3 linked regions of the Alligator mississippiensis genome follow. Each later gene encodes a partner of the first gene's protein in a complex. Links are inferred from orthologs where the notes say so. Each region holds a gene or a part of one and is shown in the gene's direction. Other genes may lie near its edges.

Region 1 (7,722 bases):
TGGCTGCCCCTGAGCTCAGGCTGCCCTCCATTCATTGCATTCATGTAAGTGGATTTTCTGTTATTCCCCCACCTGCAGAGTCCCCTCCTCTTCAAGCAAGCAGCTCAAGCATATATTTTTCCCCTTTCTGTATCTGTACAGTACCAACATCTCCACCTTTTATGACCACATTAAAGTAGGATTTTCAAAAGCACCTAAGTGATTCCAGGGGACAAGTTCCATTGATTTCCAGGGGCTTCTGCACCCAGTCATTTAAGTGCTTTTGAAAATTCCACTAACATGAGAGGAACAATTAGCAATGGGGTCCCCAGAAAAGCAACAGCTGTACATGACTAAGACTGATTAATTCCCTGAGAGTTACAAGAGACTGAAGTAAAAGAACCTGCTATACTGCTAAAGGAAACAGCAAAAGATCCTGGAAAAAAACTGTATCCTGACCTCTTCTGGGGAAAGAAAAATCTTCAGCTATCAGACTGACACAGCTCCTTTCTGTATGTGTGCAATGGAGTGGATTTATTTTCCTATGAGGTTAGGCATATGCTACTACCTGCTAATGAATTTATGATGAAACACAGGCTGCTATGCAGAGCATCTCCAATAACTATAGGAATATTTTTGTAAAGCTGGGAAGGGGTCTTTCCCATTTGTAGTCATTGCTTTACGCTTTTTCCTTTTGAACAGAGCAACTGTGGCACACTCTCGTGAAACCTATTGGCTCAATATCAAATCCAAAATACTATGGAGAGGTGAGTAATTACTGAACATGTCATTACAACGTAGGGCAAATGTCCATTACCACAAAAAGGAGTTATATAGGCATTAAGCAGCACTGGTGTATCAGAAATATAGGGGATACTAGTATTCTATGTGCATGTCTTCTTTGAAATTGTTTTAATCATTCCCCCCCTTCATTACCTCATAGTCAAGCTGTATGTATTTAGCTCTTTTTATTCCTCTTCCTGACCTATATACTTCTGCCCCCAATATCCTTCCAGTTGTATTAGCATGATATCCAGACCTCTGTGTAACATTCCAGGTATCCTACGAGGGCATGATCCACTTGTTATTGATTTGCCACTGAGCAAATGTGATACTGAGCAAATGTGAGTTTTGCAGACAAAAAACAAACAGATTAGTTACCACATTAAGAGGCAACTCTCCAGCTCCAAGTGATAGGGATTGAAAAGGAAATTTTTGCATTAACTCCCACTGATGTTATATACCACAGGTATATCCCCAACTCAACAGAAGAGCAGCCCCTACTTTTGTTTCTGACTAGTCAGAAAACTTTCATAACCATGCTGAAGGCTAAATGATGCATTTTAATCTCTTGGCAATGTTGTTCTAGGACAGAGGTTCCCAAACTTTTTCTTACTGTGTACCTCTTTCCAGATTTATCAGCTGCCTGTGTACCCCCGCCAGCATGTTTTATATTTTAACACCTTAAAATGCCAGTTATTATTACAGTGAAAATTAAAACCGCCATTACCCTCCCCCAAGATGTCTTGCATACCCCCATGGGTATGTGTACCACAGCTTGTGAACCCCTGATCTAGGACAAGTCACACAAACTTTCTGCGGTTTCATCTGTCTCTTAGGTGCCCATACCTGCATCACCATTCTTTGCAAAAAATATCTTGTGAATGCAAAGGATCATTTCAAAGTTCATTGTGTTCTGTCCACTGCTTACTTTCTTTGCCAGACGAAGTGCAGGGATTACTGACCGAGAAGCAACTCAGGATTAACAGGAAAAGAAAAAACCTCCCCAAAGGTTCATATTAATTGCTTTGCCATGGTCTCCTCAATGATATATCCAAAACTAGTTATAAATTGAAATTAATTTCCATTTCTTCTCCAACGTACAGATCCTACAGCAACATGTGGCACTGAGAAGTTTACATGGACAGCTACCACTGTGATAGGCTTACTTTTCCACCTGCTGCTTTTGCTTAGCTGCATTTAGTAACCCGTGAAAATTAAGAGTATATCTACAACAGCTAAGGACTGTCACTGTTATTGGTAGCTAATTTTAATTGTATCTATAATAAATACAACTTTTAAGGCCTCAGCTACATGTAAAAGTTGTACCACAGCTCTATTATAGAATCTCCTGCTGTGGACTTGTTTAACTTTCTCCATGTTCACCCTAGGAACAGCATAGTGCTATGTGAAAGAATGTTATATCAGCATAACTGCATCCACACTAGGTGCTGTACCAGTATAACTGTGTTGGTTAAACCCACCACCAAAATAATTATAACAATAAATAACCAGCGTGTAAACTAGATCTACGATTAAGGTGGAGTGGTAAAAAGCCCTAGTGAAATTTCCAAGCATCCAGGAATCAGGCTTGCTAAGAAATAAAATCAATAGAGTGATTTTTAACTTCATTCTAACCGAGAATAATAAATGTTACAAGATCACCACTTTCTGTCTGTGAGCAGAATGTGTGTGTCTGAGCAGATGAATGCTAAGAGTATCGCTACACTGCTGTATGCTTTTTTGTTTAAAAAAAAAAAAAAGGGGGGGGGGGCTTGAAACAAGACATGTTAGAGATGTAATGCAGGAAGATACCTGTTGTAATAAGACAAATAAACATCAGTTGTATTGCCTAGGTCAGGGTCACCAACCCCTGGCGTATGTGCCAGAGCATGGTATGCGAGGCCATTTTGTTAGGCATACCACAGCCAGCCCAGGCTCTGTGCAGCTGCAGCTGACCATGTTGCAGCCAGGAGGCTGTGAACAGCTGCACTGGGCTCTGGAGCCCTGGGCAGCCTCTGTGGCGGGTGCACACAAACCTCAAGGTAGATAGTGGGGGAGGGGCCTGGGGCAGCACAATCCTGGCCCTTCCACCACTAGTGATGGTGCCCTGCAACCCAGTGCAGTTGTCTGTAGCCTGCCCACCAGCTGCTGCAGCTGCCTTGAGCCTAGAGCTCTGCCACTCGCCTAGAGGCGCATGTGCACCAGCCACTGCCATGTAGCCCGGTGCAGCTGGTTGCAGCCCTCCTCCAGCCTGGACTCTGGGCAGCTGCAGTAGGCAATGGGCAATTTCCAAACAGCCGTGCTGTGCTCCTGAGCACCGGCACCGGCTCCATGCTGACGGCAACTGCACACATACCTAGGGGCACAGGGTGGGGAAGGGGCCAGGGCAGTGTAACCCTGGCCCCTCCTCTGCCGTCTGCCCGGAGGTACACACGCAGCCACCGCCAGCAATAAGGATCGGGCCCCTCACAACTCCCCCACAGTCTGCTCCTGGCATGCCAACTCAAGGCATGGGTCTGGGGTGGGGTGTTTTTGGCATTATGGCCAAAGACGCTGCTGCCCCCTGACCTAGACTGTGCTATACTCCCACTTTTGTTCCTCAGTTTTGTGCAGGCTAGTAATACACATTCACATTAGTAAGCTTATACTCCAGAATTTCTCAGAGGTGTAATCATTTCATTTATTCAACTAAAACAAGCAATGCCTTCACTGCTGCAGGATGCACACTCCAACTTCTCCTTTTCAATATGGAGGACCTACAATTGCTTAGATTGTACTTGGCGATTAATGTACAAATCAGAAGCCAATATCTGTAACAAGTCAAAAGTCTTGGCTTTTATCAGCATTGCAGCATCAACAAAGCTTGTTTTTTGGGGGTTTTTTTTCAGTTAACATTGGTTTAATAGCCTGTTAAAAGTGTGGCAAAAAATAATTAGTTAGTGTATGCCTATATCTCTTCCTTAGCAATCTTATCCTCCACTAACGTGTGGCAAACATGTCATACATTCATAGATAAGGCTGGAAGGGACCTCAGAAGATTATGGGGTCCAGCCCCCTGCACCAAGCAGGAGAGACAACGGGGCGAGGTGACCCCAGCAAGGTGACGGTCTCAGTCTCCTCTTGAAAGAGGAGTCAGCTAAAACAACGTTTACAACACGAACTCCCTAGTCTTCCGCAAGACCTCGCACACCTACTCTGCAAGGCGTATGAGCCGACGCGATATTCCCACCGCCTCTTTTGAAAACATCACGGCCACAAGCGCAAAGACCGATCCCCGCCCACCGGTCTGCGTACAACATATAAAACACACCGCCTCACGTAGACATGCGTGTTTATTAGAACGATACTGCTTTTTACGGTTTTTCTGTCAAGAAGCTCACTTCTTAGTCGATGTTCTCCAAGCCCTGCAACGCAGAAGAAAATAAGTGAAGTCTCTGATGACACGTCCCCCCCGCCCCCGGGGAGCAGTTTGGCAGGGGTGACGAGGAGCACTTGCCTTGCTGCGGTGGTATATGTTCACGCCCGACACGAAGCGGTCCCGCTCCATCAGCGTCCACTGGAAGTGGTTCCGCGCCGCCCGCTTCTCCTGCGCACGCAGAGGGCAGGGGTGAGGCGCGCCGCCCGCCCAGCCCCAGCCCCAGCCCCAGGCCCAGCCCCAGCCCCGCCTCCAGCCCCACCTTGCCGCCGTTGGAGTAGCGGTAGAAGTAGGTGAGTGAGATGCCGGGCACCACCAGGCACAGCCACGTCATGCCAGCGAAGGGCAGGATCTCGTACCACATCGCTGCGCCGCCCTTGTCACCGCCACCAGCACCAGCGCCAGCGCCGCCACCCCACCATGCACCGCGCGACCCAGCAGGCCCCGCGCGGGGCAGCCCGATTGGCTCCGCCGAGCTGCAGCGCCGCGCTGCATGCCGGGACCCCTCCCTCGGGGAATCCCGCGAGAGCGGCGGCGGCCAATGGGCGTGCGGGGGCGTGGCCGAGCCGGCGGGATGAAGGAGGACAAGGAGAACACCAGGCCCAAGGAGAAGCGCGGGGTGCCCGCGCCGCCCCCCGCACCGCCCCCCGCGCCCGACGCCGACCGGCCCAAGGACAAGAAGGAGACGCTCAGCAAGGTGCGGCCGGCACCCGCCCCCCCCCCCCCCCCACAGGGCCCGCTCCGCAGTCGGGCGGCTCTGCCCGCAGCTGGCCGGGCTTCATGGCGTGTCACCGGCGTCATGTGTGCGGCCGGCTGCGTTTCTTGCGCGTGTCATTCCGGTCTCCGTTCATCGCATGCTTTTGCCGGGGGTGTGCAGGGCGTGTGGCCGGGCTGTGTTGATCCCGCGCTTCCCCAGGGACTTGCGTGACGTAGCGGTGGAGCGCAGGTGCGAAGGTCCCGGGTGCTGAGTGGGAAGGTCCTCGAGCCCCGCGGCCGGGAGCCGGGAGCGACAGCAGCAGTGGAACGAGCCCTGGTCGGGCCGGTTGCTCTGCCTTTCAGCATTCGCTCTCTGCACCCGTGTGACGCAGACCTGCGTGTTGTGTTGCTGGGCAGGGATGGGTAACATGGCGGATCTGGGCCCTCTGCCTGCATGGCTGGGGCTGGTCCCCATGGAGACCCCAGCCATTGTGACAGCACAAGGCTGGGGTTGCCATGGAGACCAGCCTCAGCCACACTGGCAGGGGGCAGGGCAGGGCAGGGGGCTGCTCTGGAGCTGCTGGGATCTTGTGGCCAGGGCGGTTTGGTCCGGGGCCAGGGCAGAGCTGCGATCTGCCATCTACATGCTCTGGGTGGAGATGTGCAGGCGGCAGATTGTGGCTCTGCCCCGGCTCGGGACGTGGCTGTCACTGTTGCAAGGAGCCAATACAGAGCCGCAATCCACAGCCTGCGCACCCCTACCTGAAGCATGCAAGTGGCAGCTGGCCCCGGGCCAAGCTGCCCCCACTGCAGGATCCCAGCAGCTTTGGAGCAGCCCCCTGCCCTGCTCTGCCGGGTGCCCTGCCAGCTCAGCTGGGGCTGGTCTTCATGGCAACTCCAGCCTTGCACTATCATAGTCAGCAGCTGGAGTCTTTGCCCCAGCGGTGTGGGCAGGGGCTGCTGGGAAATGGAGTCCACTGCCAGCTGGGTCTGGCCCACAGGCCAGACTTTGTCTGCCCCTGGCCTAGGCCCACCAAGTCTTATTATAAGCCTGCCAGAAGAGTGAGGCCACTATTGGGTGTGACACAGGAGTCTGGGCAAGAGGGACCTATGGTCTGATCCAGGAAATGTCAGTTCTTATGATTTAATGTGTGGCAGGGGCCTCAGTTATGGATGTGGCCCAAGGCTGCTGCTGCAGGGCATTTCCCCCAAGCCTTGCGTAGACCACAGGTCTGTTATCGTGCAACGTCTCGGGTAATGAGCTCAGTGGAAACGGAGGGGAGATGACATTATCTTCTTACCCTGTCTCTTTTGTTTCTATCTCTTCCCACCCTCACCCCCCTCCCCGGCATCACTGGGTCAGGTTGTAATTCGGCGCTTGCCTCCCAGTCTGACCAAGGAGCAGCTCGAGGAACATCTTCAGCCTCTGCCTGAACATGACTATTTTGAATTCTTTGCCAATGATTCCAGGTGCATAAAGTTTGGGTTTGAGGTGGGAGGTTTTTGGGTTTGTTTGGAGGAGGGTGTTTAGCACATGACTCCACTGTGTTGGAATGGACCGTAAGCGTATACTTGTAGTTCCTATAACTAGACTAATCAGCAATTCTATCCAGCTTAGTTTCCCCTTATGTTGCTTGTTTTTGTCTCTTGCAGTTTGTATCCTCACATGTTTTCCCGAGCCTACATCAACTTTAAAAACCAAGAAGACATAGTACTATTCAGGGATCGTTTTGACGGTTATGTTTTTGTTGATCACAAAGGCAAGTACTCAAAATGTGGTTATATACTTAGTATCTTTTGACTTGTATATCAGTAGCCTTAGGTGAAACATAGTTATGCTGAGGTAAAAGGGGAAAGAGATTATTTACTTTGTATCGTTTCCTTTACAGTAGTTCCTGCCTGGTCATTCTTACCCTGCAGCAAATGAAAGCTTAATTATTGTGCTTTAATCCTTTCATGGGTCTAAACATCACTTTTGAAATGCATACGTATTCTGTGGCTTTGAACCCCAGTAATTCATGTAATCTTTTTGCAGTAATATATTGAATCTATGCATCTTAATATGCTTGCCATTCAGAAGAAACCTTGAAAAAAGATTCTGGCTATTATGCATGGATGTTACATTCTACTGGATATTATCAAGATTAGGGATTTTTTTTTTCCCCAGTTACTTTTAAAATCACCTTCTATTCACACAATGAATGAAGCAGGGGAAGTGTACAGGGGGAAATGGGGCATGACCATAACGCATAAATATAAAATGTAATGGGCATCCTTACTACTAACACTTCTGAGTGCTAGTCTTTGTAAATTTAGCATTCATTTAATGCTGTTTTTCAATGTATTCTGTTTATAGTCTGTAAATGAAATATCTAGTTAGATGTTCTAGGGTTGCCTGTTTCTTGTAAGCATCTGTCCTAATGTAAAATAGTGGCAGACATTTAAGTTATTGTGTATTTTGTTCTGTATAACAGGTCAGGAATATGCTGCCATAGTGGAATTTGCACCATTCCAAAAAGCTGCAAAAAAGAAGAGTAAGAAAAAGGATGCCAAAACTGGGACTATTGACGATGGTATAACAGCTAGAGTTGTTTGTTTGTATGTGTTTATATCCATCAGCTTATACATGAGGCAGAACCATCTTACAGCAAAAATGTGAATGTTTTTTCCACAAGTTACATATCATACTTGTTAAGTTTAAAGTTTGCAGGCATTCTTTTGTGATGCTAATGTTACATAGTAAAAAAACATTCTCCAAAATGTCTTCAAAAGTATTATTGTGGTGCCTCATGGCTGCAATTAAAGGTCATGATCCCTTTGTATTAAACACTATGCAGGCAGGCAGTGAA
Region 2 (8,017 bases), on another chromosome or scaffold:
CTGCTGCCATGAGACACACAGTTAGTTACCTTTGTCAAAAATCGGTTAGCATATTCCTTAGTGAGACCCTCCTAGCTGGGTTACCAGTGTGAAAATGCTTCTACAGACTTTTTTGCCAGCAAATGTCATTTTTTTTCTATATAAGAGGGTTGGGGCTGGGGGTTTGTAAGCCTTTTTTGTGAAAATAGAATTCTATACGCACAATTTCGGTTCATTTTTATTTAAATGTTTAAGGACAGCGCTGCCTGGCAATTTGTGTATTTTGTAAGAAGCTTGGATTGGCTAGAGACAACTAGAATGGTGCCTATGCTTTAGCTGTAGTGATTCCCTTCCTTTATGAAACCAGCCTTCGTTGCTGTTTTTTACACTAATGGATGATGCCAAAAGCTCCTAGTCTGAGTAACTCTCTTACTGAAGTCCTGATTTATTACTGTTTGTTGTAATTACAAAGACAGAGTTCTTTCATGGCCTTTCAGGCTTCAAAGTGAACTAGAGTCCATGTAGATGGGGTGAGTGAGCAACGGATTCTTTGGATTTGAAAGACCATGTTCCCCCTACTCTTTTGCTGCACTTACCTGTCTGATTGAGAGTTGCAGTGGTACCTCTGCAGGGCGTGTGGCTGGGGGAAGGGTCCAGGGAGGAGTTTTAGTATAAGGGTGAAAATGTTAACTTTGTATTGAAGATGTTAGCAGGCCACAGAAGTTGACCCACTTGAATGATTCCTTTTGAGTGTTGTGTAAAGACAGTGATCTTCTTTTTCCTGCTTGGCACAAACAACTTGATAAACAATAGAGAAACACAAAAGGCATTGCTTTTTTTCTTCCCCCCACCTCCCCCAACCCCCCATATCTGGGGTATCATTATGCAATGTGGAAGAGAGGCTGAATCTGTAACTTAACACAGTTGCGTTTTTATACTGAAGTTGAGGCAGTCATGGAGTCTGGAAGAGAGGCTAAAACACCTTTAGAGGGGAAAATCTCTTGTGAGGTATGGGCTCTGGTGCTACAGAGGTTGCATAAATAGGGCTATACACTGCATCCTTTTTTTTTTCCTTTTAATAAGGCTGTTCTTGAGTGTCCTGCTTTTAGCATGATAGCATGTGTCCTCAATGGATTCCTGTGCAATTAGGAGCCAAAATGTAAAACAGGCAAATACTAGCTGGAGCCCTGCCCTGCCCTGTGTGCTGCCCCCCCCCTCCCCCTTTTCCTTGATGACGTCCATTTTTCAGGTCTGCATTGAGCAGGTTTTGTATTCTGGTTATACTTTGCCTTAGTGGCTTTTTTCAGGGGGCAAAACACCTTTTTGAATTCCAGTGACAGTCAGCTCTGATTTGCTAGTCTTGAACTGGCCTTACTTCCCAGTGCAAAGCCATTTTGAAACTCTTCATCATCATGCCATTTAGACAGGCAACCAGGCTTTGTAACAGTCCTTTTTACTAATATATTGGCTTTTCATCAGCAAAAGGGAGGGGTGGGGATGGGCCAGAAGTAGGCTTTGGGGTGGGGGAGTACAAAACAAAACTTGCAGTTGAGTGTTAGTGTGGAAAGATAGTCTTATTTCTCCCAATATGGGGTACAACACTGTGAAATTCAATCCTCAACAGAAAGCCCTGCAATTTCCCTCCTAGAACTATTCTTTGGTTTAAAACCTTGCTTTTTTTTTTAATTCAAGTTTTAAACTAGTGTCAGAAAACTTAAAAACCTTTTAAAAATTAAAATTAAAAGCTTGTCTTTACTCTTCAGCCTTGTTTTATGGCCATTTGACACATGGTTGTCTGTTGTAATGCATACTTTTGATACCATTTCTAATGTGTAAAATGGTTGTCTTGTAAATATCTTATAAAAAGTTCAATTTGTAAATAAAAACTATTGTGGCTGTTAATTTTTTTTTGAATTTCTGCTTCAGTTTGTTAGATTTAACAGTGTTAATGGGGAGTATTAAACAATTCTGCTTGTATGTTTAAAGAATTGAAACCAATTTTTTTACAATAAAATAGAAAAAATATAAATCTGGTGATTGCCTTTTTCTTCATGTATATAATTCAAGACTTGTTACAGAAGCAAAGACATTTCTGAAGCTTGTAACACTATTCCCAAAGCGGCAAACATGCATGAGGCAGACAGCTGTACTTTTCTATTGGGGGTGAGAAGGTATCTTAACCTAGCATGTGTTGAAAGGCAGATTGTCTCAAACCCTTATTTTGGCTTGCTATTTTTCTTGCCTTTTGTGTAGGGAGAAAAATTAAGAACATTTCTAAAATTAGTCTGCAGTCCACAACCAGTTTTCTTTAAAAGACAACAAATATTTAAGAAACAGAAAATGTTTCCTGAAACTGTTTTTATTTCAGTTTAACTTCCAAGCTTTCCTGGGGCCTGCTTTGTCTCTAACCACTGTTATCTAGATGGTTTGTCAATGTATGCCTGCATATCCTAGCATATTGTTTCACATACAATTTATCAAGCCTATGACATGCATTCTTTTTTCTTCTTTTACACAGTTTAAGCAAGGGACATGTGAAAAGGCAGAGAGATGCTGCTGCTGGTTGATAACAGCTGTTCAGGGGCTGCTCTTCCTGCACTTAAATGCTGAATGTGGCAAGAGATAAAGACCTATTGTTGAAGAGGTGGAGGATTACCTGGATTTACGAGGAGGGAAACAAGTGTGTTCAGAAGATAATGTCACAGGAACAGTGTCATCAGTGTGGCTTGTTTGGAGTTACCCTGGCACCTAAACTATAGCTTCACTATACCTGTTCAGGCCTCTCTTTACTGGAGACTGAGGAAGATAGCTACCATGGCCCCCACTACTGGCCCAAAGTTGCCATGTCTGTGGGAACTGCAGGTACTCTTTTTCTGGCTGAAAATTATAGGCCAGGAAAGCAAAAAAATGAGTAGTAATATTCTAGGCAACTGTTGATCTTCTAGATCATGGTGTTTGCATAAGAGATCTAGTTAGGTGTGTGATGAATCTACTTGTGCCCAATTTGAGAACAACACAGCTTGTTACAAGTTTCACAGATCCACGTGTTGTCTGAGTTAGAGTCCAGGTTTATAGCACACTGCGTCCTTTCTTGCTTTGCTTCCATCCTCTGGATCAAAGTGACTTTATGTTGTGCTGCACCCAGTGCCAGATGTTCCCTCGAGATTGGACAGGATTCTGCACGCTTCTCCCAGCTTTCTGCATTAACGTTGAATGACTTCATAGCATTTTTGCACACCGGGTACTGCCATAGAGGGCAACCCTGCTTTCTAGAGCCATCTTGAATCTCACAGTACAAAATATTCCTGGGGATATAGTCTCCTCCCATTCTCCTGACATGGCTGACTCATCGCAACCTTCTCTTCTTGATAGTGGTTTCTAAGTGTGTCAGTCCTATGCACTCCAGCACCTCTGTGTTTGGTATTTTGTCTTCCCACTTTATTTTCAGGATCTTATGTAAGCATCTCATATGGAAACTGTTCAGTCTCTTGATGTGCCTAGCATATGTAGTCTGTTTCTGAACCATAAAGCAGAGATGACAAGTATGCAAGCCTTGTAGATTCGCAGCTTCACCTTAGATGACATTTTGCTGTTACTCCACACACATTTCTGTAATAGGCCAAAATTCTTAGCTGCTTTTCTGATTCTGTTCAGTCTGAAGGTCAAAATTCCTGTTGGTTGTAGAACCCAAGTAACAAAAGCTGTCGATGACGCCAAGAGATTTACCCCCCAGAGTTATATTAGGTATTAATTCTTCCCCGGCTTTGGTACATGACGATAGGTTTTGTGAGACTAATTGTCTCAACCTGAAGCTCCTGCATGACTCAGAAAATCTGCCCAAGAGATTTTTGCAGGGAAGATTCACTGTAGGCAACCAAGGCTGCATCATCCACAAACAGGAAATCTCTTAAGAAATAGCTCTTTCACCTTGGTTTTTGCTCTACACCTTACATGTTGAACAAGCCTCTAGTCTGGTTCAAAGATAAATGTCATCATCACTGTCCTTGAATGCATGAAGAAACAGGAATGAAAAGTAGATGTTAAAGAACATGGGGGCTAAAACAGCCATTTCACCCTGTTGTTGACGTCAAAGGTGTGTGATTCTGTTTTCATACGCTACAGTTGCCTTCATACCTTGATGTAAAGAACAAATGATGTTCAACAGCTTAGGGGAACAACCTAGTTTCTTCAGAACAGTAAAAAGGCCCTGTCTGTTGACTGTTATCGAAGACCTTTGTTGGGGAGATGAAAGCTATGTACAGTGGTAGTTGTTTTTCTCTACACGTGTCCTGCAGTTGCTTGACTGAAAATATTGTTATCAATGGTGGAGTGAAAACTGCACTGACTTTCAGGTTATTATTTCACCTAGAGACAGCAGTTTGGGTACCATAATGTCAGTGACTTTTCTGAGGATGTTCAACAGGGAAATACCTCTGTAATTGTGACAGCTGCTTCTATCTCCCTTGTTTTTGTTTAACTGCAAACTGAGCAGCCTTGAAATCTTGCGGTAATAATACATTATAATTACAACCTAGAAAGTCACCGAGGAACTGATATGGGAAATATTTCTGGTAGAATGAACCCCCAGAAAGATTTTTCCCAGCAAGAACAGGGGTGTGCCTGTGCCACTACTGGGGGGGTGGCTGGGTGCCCCCCCCGTGTTTGCTGAGCGGGAGCCAAGAACCAGGGACCCCTGTTAGGAGACAAGTCCTCCCGGGGACAGCGAAGTAGGCTGATGACGTCATTCAGCTGGAGTGTGATGGCATCATACCCCGCCTCTTCCTGAGCCCCTGATGTAAAAGGCCACGTGGGCACGTCGGGGCGGGTTTCCGGTTTCTCCCTATTGCGGGGGTGACCAGAGTCTGGCCGCAAAGGGCCCTGGGATAGCGTAGGCCGGAAGCCGTTGAGCTGCAGTTTCCAAGCCTCGTCCCCTTCCCCGCGCAGGCGCAGGAGGGGGGGGGCGTGGTCGCGGTGCACGCCGGGAGCGGGAGTCCGCGGGCCTACCCGTCTGCCCCCGCGCGCGCCCGCGGCGCCAGGCAGGCTGCCCGCAAGATGGCGGACAGGCGGCGGCAGCGCGCCTCGCAGGACAGCGAGGACGACTCCGACTCGGCGGCGTCCGACAGCGCCGACTCGGCGGGCAGCGCCGCCCGCTCCGCCTCCCCCTGCCCGCTGCACCGCGCCGCCCCCGGCCCTAGCCCCGGCCCCGGGCCCGGCCCCCCCGCGGCCCGCACCCGGGGGGCCGACAGCGCGGCCGGCGCCGCCAACAGCCCGCCCGAGTCCGAGTGTGTGAGTGAGGCGGCGGGGGGGTGGTCACCGCGGGGGGACTCGGAGCTGTCGGGGGCGCTGAGCCGAGCACGGCATCGCCGCAGGCGTCAAGATGGTGCCAGCCCCGACCCCGCCTAGGCAGGGGGCCCAGACCAGGCCTGCACGTCCCTGCTAGCCGACAGCAAGCTCGAATCAGCCCCCACTGTCCCACGGGAAGAGGTGTTCTTCTTCATGCCTCTTGAGTTGAGCAGGTTTATTTTGCAGCAGACCCCAGCCCTTTGCAGACGAGCCCCTTGGCATTGAGCCATAGAAAACTCTTCCTGGAAGGGACCTTGGGAGACATCTAGTCCAGCCCCCTGCTCAGAGCAGGACCAGCCCCACCTAGATCATCCCAGCCAAGGCTTTGTCTACCCAGATCTTTAAAAGCCTTGGGTTGGTGTCTTCTCTTCTTCCGTCTGGCATCAATGTGCAGATCCATTAGCGGCTGTCTGGTGTTATCACTCGATGTGCAGATTCCATTTACCCATCTGAGAATTTATAAAGATTGTAACTTTCGGTTAAGTGCTGTGCTGGTTGTTGGATACTTCCTTCACACAGGGTGTTTTTTTTTCCTAGTGTTGCACCCTGGGTCTTATGCAGCGTTTAGATGATGGTTTGGATAGGGGTGATCCTGCCTCAGGCAGGGTGTGGGAGGAGATCAGCATTTCTCAAACAAACTGCAAAAAAGGACTCTCCTTTAAAGGAGAAAAACGTGGGAAACAGTGGCTTTTCCTTTGCAGGGTGGCAGAGGTCTGGGCTGCTTGGGGTCCCCCATGCCCCACACATTGGGGGGGGTAGCAGGCAGTGGGTGCGGAGTGAGGGGCACTGTTTTGGGACTGACCATCAATGTTTACAAATCAGTCCTGGTGCAAAGACGGTTGAGAACCACTGGACTAAATGACCTCTGGCGATCCCTTCCAGCCTTACTTTTCTATTACCATGAATGAATATGTACCTGGAAAATATCCAGATTAATAGTTTGCCCCAGAACAGTGTGGTTTATTCAAATTAAATCATTGTCCCACCTCTTTTTTGATGGGAGTCAGATCTCAGACTAATCAGTCCCAGATTAAATTGATGTATGGCTTGAATGGTGATTAACTCAATTAGCCCCGGGTGACCTCAGGAAAAAATACCACCTCAATTCTTCACAGGTACTTAGGGTGGAATGATGGTCCTGTAGGATCCCAGAGTAAAAGGCTTTGTTCTAGGGGAAATCCAAAGTGTTTTTATCTTAAGATTTGTGTCTAGCATTTGCTGTGGTATGCTCCAGACTGTCTGCAGGCACCAAAGAAATGACTAAACCCTGGTTATTAAACAGGTAGGGAGGAACTAACAGGTCACAGGAGCCCAGTGACCCTTTTTGCATATCTCCATTATAGCAGATTATGGTCAGAATAATTATTGGGCTAACTAGAAAGTAGAGCTACAGATGATCCTTTTTTTAGTCACACCCTTACTGCTGTGGCAACAAGAATCTGTATGTGCAAGTTGCTCAGGAGGTGGCCTGGGGCTGGCCTTCTAATTTAATAACTTCAGCTTGATTAGGTTACTGCTGTTTTAACATTCTGTAGCAAGTGAGTAAGTCTTCATCAGAGCATCAAGACAATAGATCAGATGCTAAATATATTGCTTAACCCTTAATTCATGATTTAAAAATTGTGAAACAGTTGGGACTGGTGGGATTGATTTGGTCAGAAATCAATGCCAAACAAAATAGCATTGAAATTAAATCTTGTGACTTCAAAGCCCCTGTCAGCCCCATGAATCCCAAGTTGTTTGATAGGTTTCAGGGGCCACGAGGCTTAGCTATAAACACCTCTTCTGCCTTTCTTGAGCTTTCAGTGGACCTGCTAGTTCTTCTGGCTTTTTGCTTTTGACACACTTGCCGTTTCTTATTTGTGATTGTGGTATCTTTTCCTGGCTGAGGCCAGTGGTAAAATAGGTAGGGGTGGGGCTTGTGCTTCTCTTCCCCTTTTCCAGTAGAATGTGATGGGCTCCTTTGGGATGGTGCTATGCTCCGACCTCTCCAGGCCAGCTGTCCTTCCTGTGCAACTGAGAGCCTTGTACTACCACTGCACTTTGCTAGTCCACCGCATTTTAATAGTTCTTGTTTCAAGTATCTCTTCTGTTGTCAGGGCTGCTGATGTGCCTGGTTTTTACTTCATTATGCAGGCAGTTTTTATTTTCAGTACAAACCTATTTTTATTTAATTCCATAGTCTGATACTCTTTCTTCCCTGCACTTTGCCTCTGGTCTGAATTTCTCCAGTTCTGTCCCTTCCTGTGCTAGATGCAAAGTTACACTTCTATTATTGACCTCTGCAGCAGAGGTGTCTCTCAGCTGCATGCTTCTCTGTATCAGTTGGCTTTTCCACAGCTCCCAGTTTTTAAATAATCCTCCATATCATTTTCTGAACAGGTGGTCTATATTGATTAAGGGAGTCCATCCTTTCTGTCTGTAGAGGCAAATTCCTCCTCTTTACAGAATTTTTTTTAATGTATTGGGGAGTTGAAGCTCCCTTAGTGTTGTAAGTGTTTGGGGGATTAATACTGTACAGTCATAGATTTATGTGTTTTTCTTACTGATCTGAATTTAGCTTTCTGTATACCTTTCTTATGCCTCCCTTTTCGAAGGTGCTGACCTGTACCATGAGCACAAGTTTCTCTCTACCACTAGCTGGATATTTACCTAGTTGTCTTGCAGGATCATGTCCAATAAGCAAGACCGCAAA
Region 3 (7,631 bases), on another chromosome or scaffold:
TCCACCCTCAGCTCTCTCCACTGCCTCATGCCTTGGGGCAAAAGCAGGAAACAGCAGCCAGAGAAAGGAGTGGGAAGCCTGGAAAGACTTGCTATTGCAGCCAGAATGATGGTGAGGGGAGGAGTAGCAGTTGAGTAAATGCCTGGGGGGGGCACATTAACCCCTCATGGGCTTCACGTGGCCCACAGGCTGACACTGGGACAGACATGAATTGAATTAAATTAAATAAACCAGGTAGCACTAATGACTTGCCAAGCAGAAGGGTGAGGTTTAACAATCCCTATCCAAACAGCTGGAGACAGGGACACCTTCATGTAACCTGCTCTTGTGCCCTTGATCCACGCTGAACAAAACAAAAGACAGTGCAACAAAACAAAACCACCCACAAAAATTTACAATATGAAAAATATTTGGCTGGTGTCCCGTAGTACAGCCAGCCCACACACTCAGTCAGGGAGCGTTTCACTGCCCTACACAGGGAACGAGGCAAGAATGACTTTGCCAAATGCTCTGCCAGCACTAGGTGTGTAGGCAGCTCCTCGGGACAACACTGCCAGAACCCTGATCTCACTCCCATTCGCCCCTCTAAACAAAGGCAGGTTTCCTTCCTTCCCAAACTGATCCCTATTGAAAGGGACTAGGACTAGAAGGTGACAAGGAGTCAGAGAATGACTGAAAACAGAAGCAGAAGCTGAGAAGGAAATACAGAGCAGTGCAACAGCATCACATACGTCTTAAGTTCCTTTGAGGGCAATGCCCAGTTGTTTCTGCAGCCTCCACGTCTAATACAAAAACATCGGGCCAGCAACTTTGGAGTATTTCCTCTTTTTTCAGAATATTCACAAGTTGCCCTACTGGCTTTCCTAGAATGTCAAATGTTTTGCAGAACGTCGCCTAAAAGCACTGCATGCTGGGTTTCTTTTTTAAAATATGCTGTGCTATGCCATTCCCTCTTCTGGTTGAAGAGACCCCTTTGGTTTGTCACTGCCCCGAAATATTTTCCCCTGCTAAAAAACACTTTCTGAAACACTCAACTCGTAGCTGCAGAGCCTTGCGGTTTCTTTGAGGAATCCCTGTTCTTGTGCCTTCTGCAATTGTCTCCAGTTAGAATTATTTCATTTCTGTGCTACAACCTTCAGACAAAACCCGTATCTTGGCAATCAGAAATAAATGCATGTAGATCATAACCTTTTTTGGACCAAAGGCTTCTTTTTCCCCTTTTGATCTGGTGTTTGGACAATGGACATTCTAGTCCATGGCTAGATCGCTATGTACCAATGCCATAAAGACATGCAGCGTACCTGGGACTCCAACATCAACTTGGACAAATGCTTTTTCTCTTCGGTTGTAAATGCTTCTTGTTTTAGCTCCTCAAACCTTTTAGCAAACCAGTGTCTCTCCTCTGGGCTTGGCAGCTGGCTCGTCTCTATAGAAATGTGCCCGCAGTATACGTGATCAAGGTAAGCCAGCACATCCTCTAGGGACACTTCTTCCTTCCCCATGTTCAGAAGTCCTGGTCAAAAAGAGATTGGAAGGCCCATAGGGATTAGCCACTCTAATGGCTAGCAGTCTAAGGACACTGCTAACTAGGAACTACAGTTTGAAAGCACAGTTTCACTTTCTGCCCCTCTGTTCTTCATTTGAAGCCCAAGGTCTCAAGAAACTTCAGAATTACCATTCCTAATACTTGGGACTTAGATGGTACTTTTCATTCTCCTTTGCAGTGTTTGAAATATTACTCCAAACTCTTCCAGGGCAGGGTCTGGGTTTTGGCATCTTGTGTTTGTACTGTACCGAGCATTGTGAAGCTCAGAGATGATCAAGGTCCTTTGACATTCATTTGTATTGTGCAATGCTAATTTCCCAGATGGACAGACAAGACATGCAGAAGTTCTGGGAGTTGCTCAAGACCATGTTAAGTTAGTGGACAGAGCTAGGAATAGAAGTCAGATCTCATGACTTCCACTCCAGTACCGCAGTCACTGCTGTAATACTGTACTATCATTAAGTAACCTGGGTAGCTATCTGAACAGTTACAGGGAATACTTACGTGATTTCAGGAAACATGATAACCTAAGTTTGCAGATGTCATAGACAGAATAAAAGAATGTAAATAGTGTAAAATCAGTCAAGAGAAATTATTTTTCATTTGGCATTACATCACTGAACAGCTACCTAACACATGGCTATGCCATTCAGGACAGAGCACGTAATCAGTCTGTTGTGGTGAGATTGCTATATTACCTCATGCTCATTTAGCAGCAGAGAAGAGAAAATTCAATGGTTTTATTTGACAGATTTCAAACATAACTCAAGTGAGCTGGGCACTGGAACCTGTCTACCCACACAATGCTGTGCCCCATGAAGATACCCGACCTAACTTGGGACACTGCATTATGCTGGGGAGACGTGCTCTGTGGTACAGACTTACCTGTGATGTTGAAAGGCCCTTGAAGAACTTCCAACAGCATTCGAATTTCAGGTACCATATCCAACACCGCTTGACCAGCAAACAAAGGGTTAATTTTGGCGGCTTTGTGGCCGTGCTCATGGTACGCCCCTACTAAACGGGCAAGACCGTGGTCAACTAAAGGTACAAAAGGGAAAAAAACAGAGAACGCTGTTAGCACGTACACTCTTCACTCATTCACCCTTGAGACGATGCTGCATCTTCCCCCACTGACATGCATCCAAAATGCCAAGATCACTTCCTGAGCTCAGCTCTTTAACCCATATCACTATTCTTCATTCACCCCCTCCACTTCTTCCCCATAGACACACACTTATGGCTTGTCTTCGCTTTCAAGGTGCTTCACAACCTGTCTTCACCCCATCTATCCTCTCCCATTGAATATGGAGAAGGTGACTCCCGCCTCCACCCGCCTCACTGTGCTCACCTCGCATGCCCAACTCAATAGATTTCCATGCTTTATCACATAGTACACCAAAGGGGGACTCCCATTAAATATCTGAAAAGCCACCTTGTTCCCTTATTTCAAATCTCTCCAGCTATGATGAGCACAAGAAACTCAACATGAGACCCCTGATGCGCAGTGACCCCTGCCCATCATGCTGAGCAGTACCACCTCACTGCTCCCAGCGGCTGCCTGCATCCCTCTGTCGTCCCCTGTAAACTTTCTGAGGCCGGGACCATACGGCTGCATGTTTCCTAACACCAGTCCCCACAGAAGCACCTTCTAGAGCAGGGGTAGGCAACCCCTGGCACGGGCACCAGAGTGTGGCATGCAAAGGCATTTTGCTTAGCACGTGCACCTCAGGGCAGAGAGTGGGGAAGGAGCCAGGGCTGCGCTGCCACAAGTGGACATAGTCATCTGCTTGCATTCTCCATCTGGGGACAGAGATATGCCTGTACCCTCTGGGCCATGTCTCTCCAGCCCTACGCAAATGTGACTGGCTGGGGGCTGTGAAGGGTAGACATAGATGAACCACCCAGGGTGAGGAGTTAATCACCTCACTTGCACAATCCCTCTCACTCCGCACGTGTTGCATGACTACATCACCCCAGCACTTAGCTCCGGGATCACCACCAAGGGGGACCCAAGCTGCAGCCAGCCCACGCGTCTCCAAGACGCTGCTTAGGGTTTTGCTTTGTTTTGAAGTCCCAAGCACCAGGGGCAGAGGAAACCTCAGGGGCCTGTGCTCTTCTGGCAGCAAATCATCACAGATTCACAGAAGTTTAGAGCTAGAAGGGACCTTGTGAGCTCATCCTGCTCTGGGCAGGAAAGACTGCTGGGGTCAAATAACCCCCGCCGGAGCAGCTGTGCTTGCAGTGGGGCCTGGCAACCCCGTCTGGTGCCCAGCGCATATCAGTCTGATGTCTGTCCCTGCCACCGGTCCAGCTGCAGCAGAGCCTCTCACAGCCCCCCGCCTTCTGCCCCGGGCACGCCAGCGTCCTACAAGTCCAAGCTGCAGGTGTTTTAGGCACTCTGCCCAAAAACGTTGCTGAGCTCAGCCACCTTATCCCTTCCCCGGGGCAACAGGTGCCAGGCACCCCGGCTCCGCGTGGAGGTCAGGGCTCAGCCCAGCTGGCCCCGGCCATCACCCACCAGCCACTCCGGGGCTTTGGACTTTGAACCCTGATGTCACCAGCCATGCTGCGCACCCAGACCCCCATCACCAAGGCAGCCGGGACGCACTGACCCCCCCACCCCGGCAGACACACAGACCCAGACCCCCCCCAGACAGACAGACAGGCAGACCCCCCCAGACAGACGGACCGGCCCCTGTCGCCCTATCTGGGCGGGCGGCGCGGGCGCTGTCGGGGCGGCGCGGGCGGTAGCCGTAGACGCCGCGCTCGGTGCGGTAGCAGCGCCCCGGGGCCCCCAGCGCCGCGCGCCACGGCCCGGCCCGACCCGCCGCCGCCAGGGCCATCGCGCTGCGCTCCGCTCCGCTCCGCTCCACGCCGCCAGAGGGCGGGGCCGGACAACGCCCCCAGCTCGGATTGGACCGCCCGCTCGGGGGCGGGGCCGAGCGGGGCGGCCCCGCCCCCTGCTGGGGGAGACGGCGGGCGGGCGGGCGGGCGAGGAGACGTGGGGTGTCGCCCCCTCCCTGCGCTGGGCCAAATAAACAGTGATTTGAGGACCAGGTTGCAAGGGTTTGGGCGTGAGGTGGGGCCTTGCTAGGCTCAGTCAACTGCTGGTTTATATGGAAACCACCTGAAATGTATCATCACCCCGACAGGCCAAGATGAGGAGAAAACGTACCTGGTTAGTCAGCTGTGGGAAACGTAGCCCAGAACTATAGGTTAGCCCTCAGGTGAGGTGAAGTAACAACAAAAGGTCTGTTTTGTAGCATCCGAGCTTTCCTCGGCTTTGGCTTCTTCCCCCTTGGTGCGCGCGCTGGGCGGGATGATGTCTTGAGGACCGTATCCTTTCTACTGGGCTGAATAGTGGTGCCGGGATGAAGTAAGCCAAGACAATCCAATTGTTGCATCTAAAACTGATGGTAATTTGGGGCCAGGAGGCGATGCTCCTGGGTTTCTGGCACATCGCACGTCCCCTTTATATTTCTCCATCTGTAAAATTCGGATAATTTGTCCTCGATGCTGCCTTGCTTGTGTTCGCCCCTACTCTGATAGCGGTATAGCTGCTGAGAGATTTGTCCGCTGTATTTGCGGCGAGAACGCTAGGTGATTGATTATCTGTTGTCTCCCTCCGCTTTTTGAGCAGGTACTTTGCTGCTTTCTCTTCTTCCTATTAATTTCCAGGTGTTTTTGGTATCCACTTTAAGTGGAAATGGATTATTTAAACAACTCCTAGTCTCAGTGATGACTTCTAAAATGTACTTGAAATGTTTAAAAATGATAGATGCCAAATGATAGATGCCATTTTCTTAATTAAGAATGTTTCATCCAACATGAACAATTCTATTTTGACACGCGTCTGCACAGATGAATGGAAGTGGTCAGAGAATTCACAGTTAATGGCTATTTAGGTGCAAGCGATCATTGCTTTATTCCATTTATTATGCATAATCATAATAAATACCCAACCAGCAAGGTATATACTTGGTGCTTCAAAAAGGCAAATATCACCCATTTGAAAACAATTTTGAACTAGATGAGCCATGAACAAGAATTTGAACAGAAAAACTTGACCGATCGTTTAAAATGAAGAACTAGATGTCCAGTAGTTACAATCCAGAAAGAATGCTATGCTCATTAAAACATGCCTGACTTACAGGGAAAAGAAATAGAAAAACAAGGCAAAGTTTTCTCTCTGATTTTGTAAAATGCATTTTCTATTTTTATGAGATTACAAGTTTGTTTAATGAACTTTACATGTACTCAGGCCAGTTCCATACGACAAGGTTTTCCTGGCACAGAAATGTTGCACGAAACTAAAAGTTACATCTCCTAATTGATAAAACTAAGTCAGTAAAACCCTTGATACAGATGTAACTATGCCTACAAAAGAGTGCTTATCTTGGCTTGGCTTATTTTATGTACACAGGAAGAAGGTATAGATATGTTAGCAGAAAACCTCTGTGTCCTCAAGGTGGCTCTGCAGACAGAGCTATGCTGGCACAGCTGTAGAGGCGGAAGCTCTTTAAGTACAGAGAAGCCCTTAAAGTTTTGTAGGGCATTTGACTTGGTAACGCATGACATTTTTCTTTAAGAAACCAGAGCACTACAAAATCAATGTGGCGCATATTACATTGATTAAAAATGGCTAACTAGTTATTCTCAAAAATAAAATTAAATCATCAGGTGGGTGTATTCCTGATGAAGGCTTGCACAGATGAGATTTTGGCTAACTAATATTTTATCACTAACTGGGAAGGAAACATAAAATAATTACTAATAAAGTTGAAGTGAGTGGTAAAGAATGAAAAGGACAGGTCACCCTGGATCTGGATCTCTTGCCATGCTGGATGCAAGCAAACAATATTAACAGAGTCAAATGTCAGATCAGGCACCTAGGAACAGAGAGCTCAAGTCAGAAAAGTGGGAAGATCCTAGCTTTATCCTAAGAAGCAGTGGCTCTGAAAAGGACTTGGGTGTTACAATAGATAATCAGCTGAACAAGAACCCTTTGTAGTATGTTTTTGATAAAAAGGCTATGCATTTTGTGTGTACACGAGAATATAGAATAGGAGGGGAAGGTTACAGTAGCTCTGTATTTGGCAGTGGGGGTGTCTCTTGGTGGCGTCTCCTGAGACCAGATCTTGTGTTTACACTTCAAGAAGGGCATTGAAAAATTGGAGACTATTCAGAGGAGACCCACAAGGATGATTAGATGATTAAATATACTTTCTGGTGAGAAACTAAAAAAGAGCTTGATTTATGCAGTTTCTGAAAGGGAAAGTTATGACTTGATCACAATACATACAGCACCTGCATTGAAACAAAGGACTGCAAGGACTTTCTAGAGCAGAGACCAGTCCCTGTGTTTGCAGGCAACCATTTATCAAAAATGGACACTTCTGCCCTTCTTACACACCACAAGAACCCTATGAAATAAAAAGTAACAACAGACCCAAGTAAAGAGCAGGAGAGACAAAGGAACCACCCTGATACTGCATTGGCAGAAAATTAGTTGGGTAAAAAGATGCTCAGATGATCCTCTCAAAAGGTTCAAGGCCTGCGCCACAGACAAGGGCAGGAGAACCACAGTGGTCCTGGCCAATCTGACCTGGGAGAAAATTGCTGCCTGCCCCCAAATCTGGCAATATTTGACTCATGCATGATCCAGGCACATCAAATAGACACTTAAAGGCTTATAAATACTCCTAGTTTCTGGAGCACCAGATCACCCTAGCCAGATCCTCACCCTTTGCAGTGGCCCAGGTGCAGTGCTTCAGAGGAAGACAAATAAACTAGTAGAAGCTAGTAACGTGTTCATAGGGAAAAAAGTTCCTCTTGGCTCCCAGCCATCAACCAGCAGAAGCCTTAAGTCCAGGGGCAGGCAAGATATGGCCCACGGGCCAGATCTGGGAGCACAGAGCCTGCCCGGCCCAATGGCACATAGACTGGGAATTTATCTTGAGTTATTACAATCACCTCTATACACACGATGCAAACATGTGCAAGTCAGGACAAAAATATTTTTCAAAATAAAATTAAAATGTGTTATGGTAGATGTTTGAGTTTTAGTATATGGTGTGGGGTT

What was found.
Region 2: UPF3B (region 1) and CASC3 share a complex: the UniProt entries of both Homo sapiens proteins name them as parts of the mRNA splicing-dependent exon junction complex. The link is inferred for Alligator mississippiensis from reciprocal best matches to the Homo sapiens genes UPF3B and CASC3.
Region 3: the proteins of UPF3B (region 1) and UPF2 are in contact, whole or in part, in a crystal structure (PDB 7NWU), measured with the Homo sapiens proteins. The link is inferred for Alligator mississippiensis from reciprocal best matches to the Homo sapiens genes UPF3B and UPF2. Residues at the interface, in NP_542199.1 of Homo sapiens: Lys52, Arg56, Arg57, Tyr79, Glu81, Phe83, Asn85, Asp86, Thr87, Ser88, Leu89, Tyr90, His92, Tyr94, Arg96, Tyr98, Ile130, Glu132, Pro135, Phe136, Lys138, Ala139, Ala140, Arg147, Asp148, Lys150, Val151, Gly152, Thr153, Ile154; in NP_056357.1 of Homo sapiens: Lys767, Arg768, Pro769, Pro770, Leu771, Glu773, Tyr774, Lys777, Lys790, Arg793, Gln794, Arg796, Lys797, Leu798, Pro799, Trp800, Gln801, Cys811, Ile814, Asn815, Trp817, Tyr837, Gln838, Glu839, Asp840, Ile843, His844, Val846, Asp847, Gly848.

The regions. Positions count from the first base shown.
Region 1 is NC_081831.1:72,549,847-72,557,568, forward strand, and holds the start of UPF3B (regulator of nonsense transcripts 3B), read left to right. Parts: upstream 1-4,718; coding exon 4,719-4,874; intron 4,875-6,236; coding exon 6,237-6,343; intron 6,344-6,526; coding exon 6,527-6,633; intron 6,634-7,347; coding exon 7,348-7,446; intron 7,447-7,722. Other genes in the region: putative defense protein 3, read left to right, coding at 1-44, 682-746, 1,866-1,963; NDUFA1 (NADH dehydrogenase [ubiquinone] 1 alpha subcomplex subunit 1), read right to left, coding at 4,146-4,166, 4,259-4,348, 4,440-4,541. UniProt on the Homo sapiens protein: Involved in nonsense-mediated decay (NMD) of mRNAs containing premature stop codons by associating with the nuclear exon junction complex (EJC) and serving as link between the EJC core and NMD machinery.
Region 2 is NC_081827.1:164,600,490-164,608,506, reverse strand, and holds the start of CASC3 (protein CASC3), read left to right. Parts: upstream 1-5,007; 5' UTR 5,008-5,031; coding exon 5,032-5,265; intron 5,266-8,017. UniProt on the Homo sapiens protein: Required for pre-mRNA splicing as component of the spliceosome. Core component of the splicing-dependent multiprotein exon junction complex (EJC) deposited at splice junctions on mRNAs.
Region 3 is NC_081827.1:13,570,544-13,578,174, reverse strand, and holds the start of UPF2 (regulator of nonsense transcripts 2), read left to right. Parts: upstream 1-4,621; 5' UTR 4,622-4,776; intron 4,777-7,631. Other genes in the region: DHTKD1 (2-oxoadipate dehydrogenase complex component E1), read right to left, coding at 1,302-1,513, 2,432-2,587, 4,239-4,392. UniProt on the Homo sapiens protein: Involved in nonsense-mediated decay (NMD) of mRNAs containing premature stop codons by associating with the nuclear exon junction complex (EJC).